Cricetulus griseus: one gene and its partner. The protein of the gene in region 2 purifies or fractionates together with the protein of the main gene of each other region. This does not show direct contact. Links are inferred from orthologs where the notes say so. Each region holds a gene or a part of one and is shown on either strand. Other genes may lie near its edges. The genes, in order: Dnttip1 and Trerf1.

What was found.
Region 1: the proteins of Trerf1 (region 2) and Dnttip1 purify together in Homo sapiens (affinity purification with mass spectrometry; 3 studies listed by BioGRID and IntAct, with this or other methods). This does not show direct contact. The link is inferred for Cricetulus griseus from reciprocal best matches to the Homo sapiens genes TRERF1 and DNTTIP1.

Annotation. Positions count from the first base shown.
Region 1 is NC_048599.1:14,660,095-14,663,912, reverse strand, and holds part of Dnttip1 (deoxynucleotidyltransferase terminal-interacting protein 1), read left to right. Parts: intron 1-1,635; coding exon 1,636-1,707; intron 1,708-3,445; coding exon 3,446-3,501; intron 3,502-3,606; coding exon 3,607-3,745; 3' UTR 3,746-3,818. UniProt on the Homo sapiens protein: Increases DNTT terminal deoxynucleotidyltransferase activity (in vitro). Also acts as a transcriptional regulator, binding to the consensus sequence 5'-GNTGCATG-3' following an AT-tract.
Region 2 is NW_023276806.1:256,678,327-256,682,144, forward strand, and holds part of Trerf1 (transcriptional-regulating factor 1), read left to right. Parts: intron 1-1,703; 5' UTR 1,704-1,965; coding exon 1,966-3,396; intron 3,397-3,818.

The DNA of each region.
Region 1 (3,818 bases), on a different chromosome or scaffold from region 2:
CATTGGTGGTGTGCACCTTTAGTCCCAGCACTTGGGAGGCAGAGGCAGGTGGATCTCTGTGAGTTTGAGGCCAGCCTGGTCTACAGAGAGAGTTCCAGGACAGCCTCCAAAGCTACACAGAGAAACCTTGTCTCAAAAAACAGCAGCAAAATCAAAAAAAAAAAAAAAAGTTGCTATGGTCATGGTGTCTATTCACAGCACTAGAACCCTAACTAAGACAACCATACCTGGTTGTCCTACTCTCCATTTTACAAATGAGGAAACTTGAGTCTGAGTCTGGAGGAAGTTACCACCCAGACTTCTGTCATCTCCAACATGGTAAGAAGTTTAACCGAAACCTTATTTGTCTTTGTCAAACTCTAGAACCAGGTGGTTTACATGATGCTATTTCTTGACTTTTGTTTTTAGGAAATACAGTCCTGTTAGGTATTAGCACGTACTCATAGTTCCCGTACTCAGAGGAAGAGACAGGGAGATCCAGAGTTAATCCTAGCCTGGGTTACACAGGGATACCATGTCAGAAGCCAAAAAGAAAGAAAATACTGACCCCATAATAATTGGTGTTATAAGGCACTTGTAATCTTTTTTTTTTTTTTTTTTTTTTTTTTTTTTTTTGGTTTTTCAAGACAGGGTTTCTGTGTAGCTTTGGAGCCTATCCTGGCACTCGCTCTGGAGACCAGGCTGGCCTCTAACTCATAGACATCCACCTGCCTCTGCCTCCTGAGTGCTGGGATTAAAGGTGTGCGGCACACTATAGCACTTCTTATAAAAGAAAAACACTTAATTGGGGTGGTTTACATTTCCAGAAGTTTAGTCCATTATCACCATAATGCAGCAAGGTGGCGTGCACACTTGGTGGTGGAGGAGTTGAGATTCCTACATCTTGACCCACAGGAGATAAATAGGAAGTGATCTGCAGTACTGAGTGTGGGTTAAGCGTATGTGAGACCTCAAAGCCCATCTCCAGTGGCACTTCCTCCAACAAGGCCATACCTACCAATAAAGCCACACCTCCCAATAGTGCTACTCCCTCTGTGGGGGCCAATTATAGTTAAACTACCACAGGGACTTAAGGGAAAGTAGACACTTATCCAATCTCTGGCAACTAGTTTATAGCCCCTGGCTTTATTGGCTTGACTCAGCCTGCACTCTGAGAGATCCTAGAGCCCGTGGGTATGCATATCTGTCTAGGACAGGGTCCCTGTAGTGGTTTGAAAGAAAATGGCCCCCAAAGGGAAGGAACTGTTAGGAGGTGTGGCCTTGTTGGAGGGAGTGTGTCACAGTGTGGGCAAGCTTTGAGGTCTCTTGCTCAAACTTTCCTGGGTGTGACTGTCAGTCAACTTTCTACTGCCTGCAAGATGCAGGCCTCTCAGCTCCAGCACCACAGTGCCTGTGCTCCACCATGTCCCCTTCATGGTAATCATGGACTGAACCTTTGAGAGTGCAAGGGAGCCCCCTCCCCCCCCCCATTAAATGTTTTGTTTAGAAGAGCTGCCATGGCTGTAGTGTCTCTTCACAGCAATGAAAGAAAACCCTAATTAAAGACAGTCCATTGGTAAGAACTGGTAAAGGGTCAGGAGAAGAAGAACCCTTGCCATTAAGCTAACGTGTCCCCACTAACTTCATCCCTCACAGTATGCAGCAGATCCTCAGGACAAGCACTGGCTAGCTGAGCAGCATCATATGCGGGCAACTGGTGGTAAGATGGTAAGCACTGTTGTCCCATGTACCACTACCAAAGACCCACCCAGCCCGGGACCATGAGTCCAGCTCCTGGCCACGGCTTGTCTCCAAATTTGGTAGAGTCCCTAAGCACCTAAAATATGGGAAGGGAGATGTGAAGCCTGCTTCTCCATGCTGAAGAGCAGACTGGGGCCTGTTCCTAGGGCTCCCCCTCTCCCTTCTCACCTCCCACCTACTCCTGCAAGATTTCCATCATACCAGATGCCCATAGGAAAGGCAGTTTACAAGACTTTTTGTTTGAGACAGGGTTTCTCTGTGTAGCCCTGGCTATCCTGGAACTCACTCTGTAGACCAGGCTGGCCTCGAACCCAGAGATCTGCCTGCCTCTGCCTCCCAAGTGCTAGGATTAAAGGCAAGTGCCACCACTGCCAGGCTTTGTCTCAAATTTTTAAAATATGTTTTTGTTTATTTATTTGATTGTTTTTTCCAACAGGCCAGGAATAGTGTACCACACCTGTAATCCCAGCATTTGAGAGGTAGAGGCAGAATCAGGAGTTTAAAGCCAGCCTGCATTGTCTGACAAGTTTTAAAGATAGCCTGGGCTACATGAATCATATCATGTAGATATGCATGAAGACAGGGAGCAATTAAATGCTTTTTAATTGGAGGCAGGCTGCCAAGTGTAGTAGCCAGAACACCTGGCTCAGGTCTGGGGTGGCGCAGAAAAGCAATTAAAGGAGATGAGGCAGGTTGCTGGGGATATGGCTCAGGATTAGAATGCTTGCCTGGTGTGTGTGTGTGTGTGTGTGTGTGAGAGAGAGAGAGAGAGAGAGAGAGAGAAGAGAGAGAGAGAGAGAGAGAGAGAGAGAGAGAAGAGAGAGAGAGAGAGAGAGACCAGGTTTAGTCCCCAATACTTTTCTTTTTTTTTTTTTTTTTTTTTGGTTTTTCGGGACAGGGTTTCTCTGTGTAACTTTGGAGGCTGTCCTGGCACTCGCTCTGGAGACCAGGCTGGCCTCGAACCCAGAGATCTGCCTGCCTCTGCCTCCCGAGTGCTGGGATTAAAGGCGTGCGCCACCAACGCCCGGCTCTAAAACTTTTTTATTACATTATTTAGTGTGTGTTGTGTCTGTCTGTGTATGTGGTATGTATAACCCCAGCACTTTCAAGGATAAAGCAGGAGTACTGCAGTGAGTTCAAGGCCAGCCTGGGCTACAAGAATTACAGGCCAGTGCCAACTACAGAAACAAAAACAGCTACTGTATGTGAGCTTAAGGATGGAAGACTGGTACTGTGCAGACCCAGGAGAACTCAGTGCTACAGCCATTGCACAGCAGCACTGCTGACTGAACGAACCCCTTCTACATATACCACTTCCTCCTGTTTCCTCCGTGTTCTGCTAGCTTTCACCATCTTGTTATAACCACATCAAGGGGTGTGTGTGTGTAAGAGCCATAAATAAATTAATCACCAAAGCCATGCCTGAAATCCAGCTACTCAGGAGGCTGAGGAGGCAGTGTCGTTCAGGGACAGTCTGAGCAACTTTTTTTCCTTAGTCACTGGTATCTGCTCCTCCCCCTGTAAAGTTTCTGTTTGAGTAAAGACACTCTCAAGGGGCCATCCCCCATGCTTTCCTCTGTACTCTGGCCAGGTAATCTGTAAACTTCATCCTGAGTCTGTCTAGTAGCAGGCTTTACACAATAAGAGTGTTTCTGAACTGCTGAGAAATGACTCAGAGGCTTTAATCACTCCCCCTTGCCTCCAGGCCTACCTTCTCATTGAGGAAGACATCCGAGACTTGGCTGCCAGTGATGATTACAGGTAAAACCAAAGGGGCTCCTCCCTATACTCCCGTCTGCCTCAGTAGGCACGCACACGGATGAGGCCATCACCCTCCCATTAACATCCCTACAATGTCTCCCCCAGAGGATGCTTGGACCTGAAGTTGGAGGAGCTGAAATCCTTTGTCCTTCCCCCCTGGATGGTTGAAAAGATGCGGAAGTATATGGAGACACTACGGACAGAAAATGAGCATCGTGCTGCTGAAGCGCCACCCCAGACCTGAGCCAGGTGTTCTGGCTACTACACTTGGCAGCCTGCCTCCAAGACCCTCTTTCCCCGACCGGCTGAGGCCATCC
Region 2 (3,818 bases):
GGTGATGTCATCCCTGTCCCCAGCACCTTTGTGCGTCTGCTGAGAAGCCTTCGGTGACCACCCCTCACTTTCCATAACACCTCAAATTCAGGGTTGATCCTGAAAAATCTTCCCTAAATTAAGTATGTAAAACTCCTCTTTTTCCTTAGGTTTTGAGACAGAATCTCATGTAGCCCAGAGTGGCTGTCTACGCCTCCTGATTTTCCTTCCTCTGAGCCCTGGGATTACAAGCATGTGTCACCACACCCAACATCGTGTTTTGTGGAACTCTTCATCCCCTCACTCATGTTCAAGTTTACATCTACAGTTTTTATCATGTTTGCAGATGTGATTTCCAGAATAGTATAAATATTGATATTTTTAAGTGAAACTATGACATCACTTTTAATTTTATCCCATGGAATCTAAACACCCTAGCCTTCCAATATCCACCCATTACTCATTTAAAAAATATACACACACACACACACACACACACACACTGGGTCCTTCATTTTTCCTTGAAATTTTATTTGTATTTCACTTCCTCCAGGAGTTTTATATGTGATATATTTTTAGGTTTAAAGCTCTTTCATTTGTATCCCCATCTTTTCATTTCCTGAATCATGAAGCTATATTGAAAGCGTCTTCTGATTTACGTTATAGTTATATTTTTAATAGTACACAATTGATCAAGCCATACAAATGTATAAATAATAAACAGTAAAAGTAAAATTATGTTGAAAATGTACCTTGGAACAGTAGTACTGAGTGCCTTTTTAAAAATAGACTTTTCGCTAGACTTTAAAATAGCTCAGTTGGTGGTTTGCCTCGTGTGCATCAGGCCCTTGGTTTAATCACCAACACTGTATAAAGCAGGAGTCCCCACTCCTGTAGTCCCAGCACTTAGGAGGCAGAGTCAAGAGGATCAGAAACTAAAGGCCATCCTCAGCTCCAGGGCAAGCTCTAGGCCAGTTTGGGCTACCTGAAACCATGGAGAGACAGCTCAGTGGTTAAGAGCACTTCCTGCTCTTCAGAAAATTAGTTCAGTTCCCAGTATCCATGCTGGAGGACTGATAACGCCTGTTTTTCCAGCTCCAGCATCTGATACCTTCTGGCTTCCATGAACACCCACGTTCATGTGTGCATAAACACACGCACACATAAATGTCTAAGAAGATTGTTTATTGCTAGTGTGAGAGCAGGGCCAGTATTTTCCATCTATCCAGGTAGAAGCCATTGTTCATACTTGATAGGAGGAACATAGGGTTTTATCTTAAAAAACAAATCAAGGAAACCCTTGGGGCTGCAGAGATGGCTATGGTTAAGAGCACTTGCTGCTCTTGCAGGGGACCCAGGTTCAGTTCTCAGCATCCACATCAGGTAGCTCAGTCTGTGTGTCTGTCTCTGTGGGAGGTGGTTGAGTAGGACATCTGGTGTCCTCTGATCTGCACAATCACTTACCCTCCCTACATGTGAGTGTACACACCACACATACCATAGCACTCCTGTGCAGGTCGGAGCATGGTTTGTAGATGTCAGTTCCCTCCTTCCACCATGTGGGCCCCTGGATTTGGACTCAGGCTTAGCAGCAAGTGCTAACCCTACTGACCATTGTACTAGCCCTCCCCGAACTCTCCTTTTATGAACAATCACAATATATGTAATGGCTTGTTAAGAAACATCCAAGGAATTAATTTTGTCCTTTGTATCCTGTCTTCCAGGTGTGAACGACATTTCCCCACCACAGTGGTGTCTGGTCCATACCTCAACCCGGGGGAGGATGTAGACACCTCAGCTCTGCAGATGAGTGGTTCAAGCCGACTCGAACCCCTGCCTCCAGCCACCCTCACAGACATGTCAGCCGTGGAGTAGGGTGGACACTTTCTCTCATCTTCTCAGGGTTTCAGGATTTTTTATTTTCTTCATTTCCTTTGATTTTATTATATTTTTTGTGGCTGAACATTCATAACCAAGGAGGACATCATGGGGGACCAGCAGCTGTACAAGACCAACCACGTGGCTCACGGTGGTGAGAACCTCTTCTATCAACAGCCACCCCTTGGTGTCCACAGCGGGCTGAACCACAGCTATGGGAATGCAATCTCAGGGGCTGGAATGGACGCCCCGCAGGCCTCGCCCGTCTCGCCTCACTTCCCTCAAGATACTCGGGATAGTCTGGGCTTGCCGATTGGCTCCAAAAACCTTGGCCAAATAGATACCTCCAGGCAAGGAGGATGGGGAAGCCATGCAGGGCCTGGGAACCACGTCCAGCTTCGTAGCAACTTGGCCAGCTCAAACATGATGTGGGGAGCACCGGCCCAGGTAGAGCCCAGTGATGGTTACCAATACACTTATTCCCAGGCCAGTGAGATCCGCACCCAGAAACTCACCAGTGGTGTTTTACACAAGCTGGACTCTTTCACCCAGGTGTTTGCCAACCAAAACCTGCGAATTCAGGTCAACAATATGGCCCAGGTGCTGCACACCCAGTCAGCAGTGATGGATGGAGCCCCTGACAGTGCCCTTCGTCAGCTGCTATCTCAGAAGCCCGTGGAGCCCTCGGCATCAGCTATAGCTTCCCGCTACCAGCAGGTGCCCCAGCAGCCTCACCCTGGTTTCACAGGTGGACTGCCCAAACCAGCCCTTCCAGTCGGGCAGCACGCTCCCCAGGGGCACCTGTATTATGACTACCAGCAGCCCCTGGCTCAGATGTCGATGCAAGGAGGACAGCCACTGCAAGCCCCTCAGGTGCTGTCCAGCCACATGCAGCCAATGCAGCAGCACCAGTATTACCCACAGCCACCGCCTCAGCAGCAGCAAGCCGGGTTGCCGAGGATCTCCATCCAGGAAATGCAACAGCAACCACAGCAGCAGATTCGCCCCTCACAGCCTCAGCAGCAGCAGCAGCAGCTCCAGCTGCAGCAGCGGCAGGGGTCACTGCAGATACCTCAGTATTATCAGCCCCAACCCATGATGCAACACTTGCAAGAGCAGCAGCAGCCCCCGATGCACCTGCAGCCACCCTCCTATCACAGGGACCCTCATCAGTATCCCCCGGAACAGGCACATGCTGTCCAGCTGATCCAGCTGGGCTCCATGCCCCAGTATTACTATCAGGAGCCTCAACAACCCTACAGCCACCCCCTCTACCAGCAGAGCCACCTGTCCCAGCACCAGCAGCGTGAAGACAGTCAGTTGAAGACATATTCCAGTGACAGGCAGACTCCGGCTATGCTGAGCTCCCATGGGGACATGGGGCCTCCTGATGCAGGGGTAGCAGACCCAGCAAGCTCGGAAATGACCCGAGTCAGCAGTACCCTTCCTCACCAACCGCTCCTGTCCCCCAGTGGTATCCACCTCAATAACATGGGACCTCCGCATCCGCAGCCATCTCCCAGTGCGATGTGGCCCCAGGTATCTCAGAGTCGAAGTTCCTCCCCATCTCTGCTTCATGTGCGACAGGCTGTGCCAGGCATGAGTCTCGGCAATACCCAATTCTCCACCCCTCATCCTTTCTGTTCTTTATATATTTCACAAGTGTTAACATACATATGCCAGGCACTTGGGATACAAAACCAATATGGATTTAGTCCTTGGCCCTGGGGATTTGTCATCTCACTAAGGGGATGACCAAAATATTGTAGTATGTCCTAAATGGTTTCAGTAACGATCAAGACCTAGAGTTGGGGTTTAGGGGTGGGCTCAGGTCAATCATAGGGTACAGGGGAGAGCTTAGCAGCCTCTGCTCACAATCCCAACCCCAGGGAGGATCCCTTGGGCTCACTGACCAGTTAGCCTCGCTAACTTACAAAGTCCAAGCCAGTGAGAAACCCTGT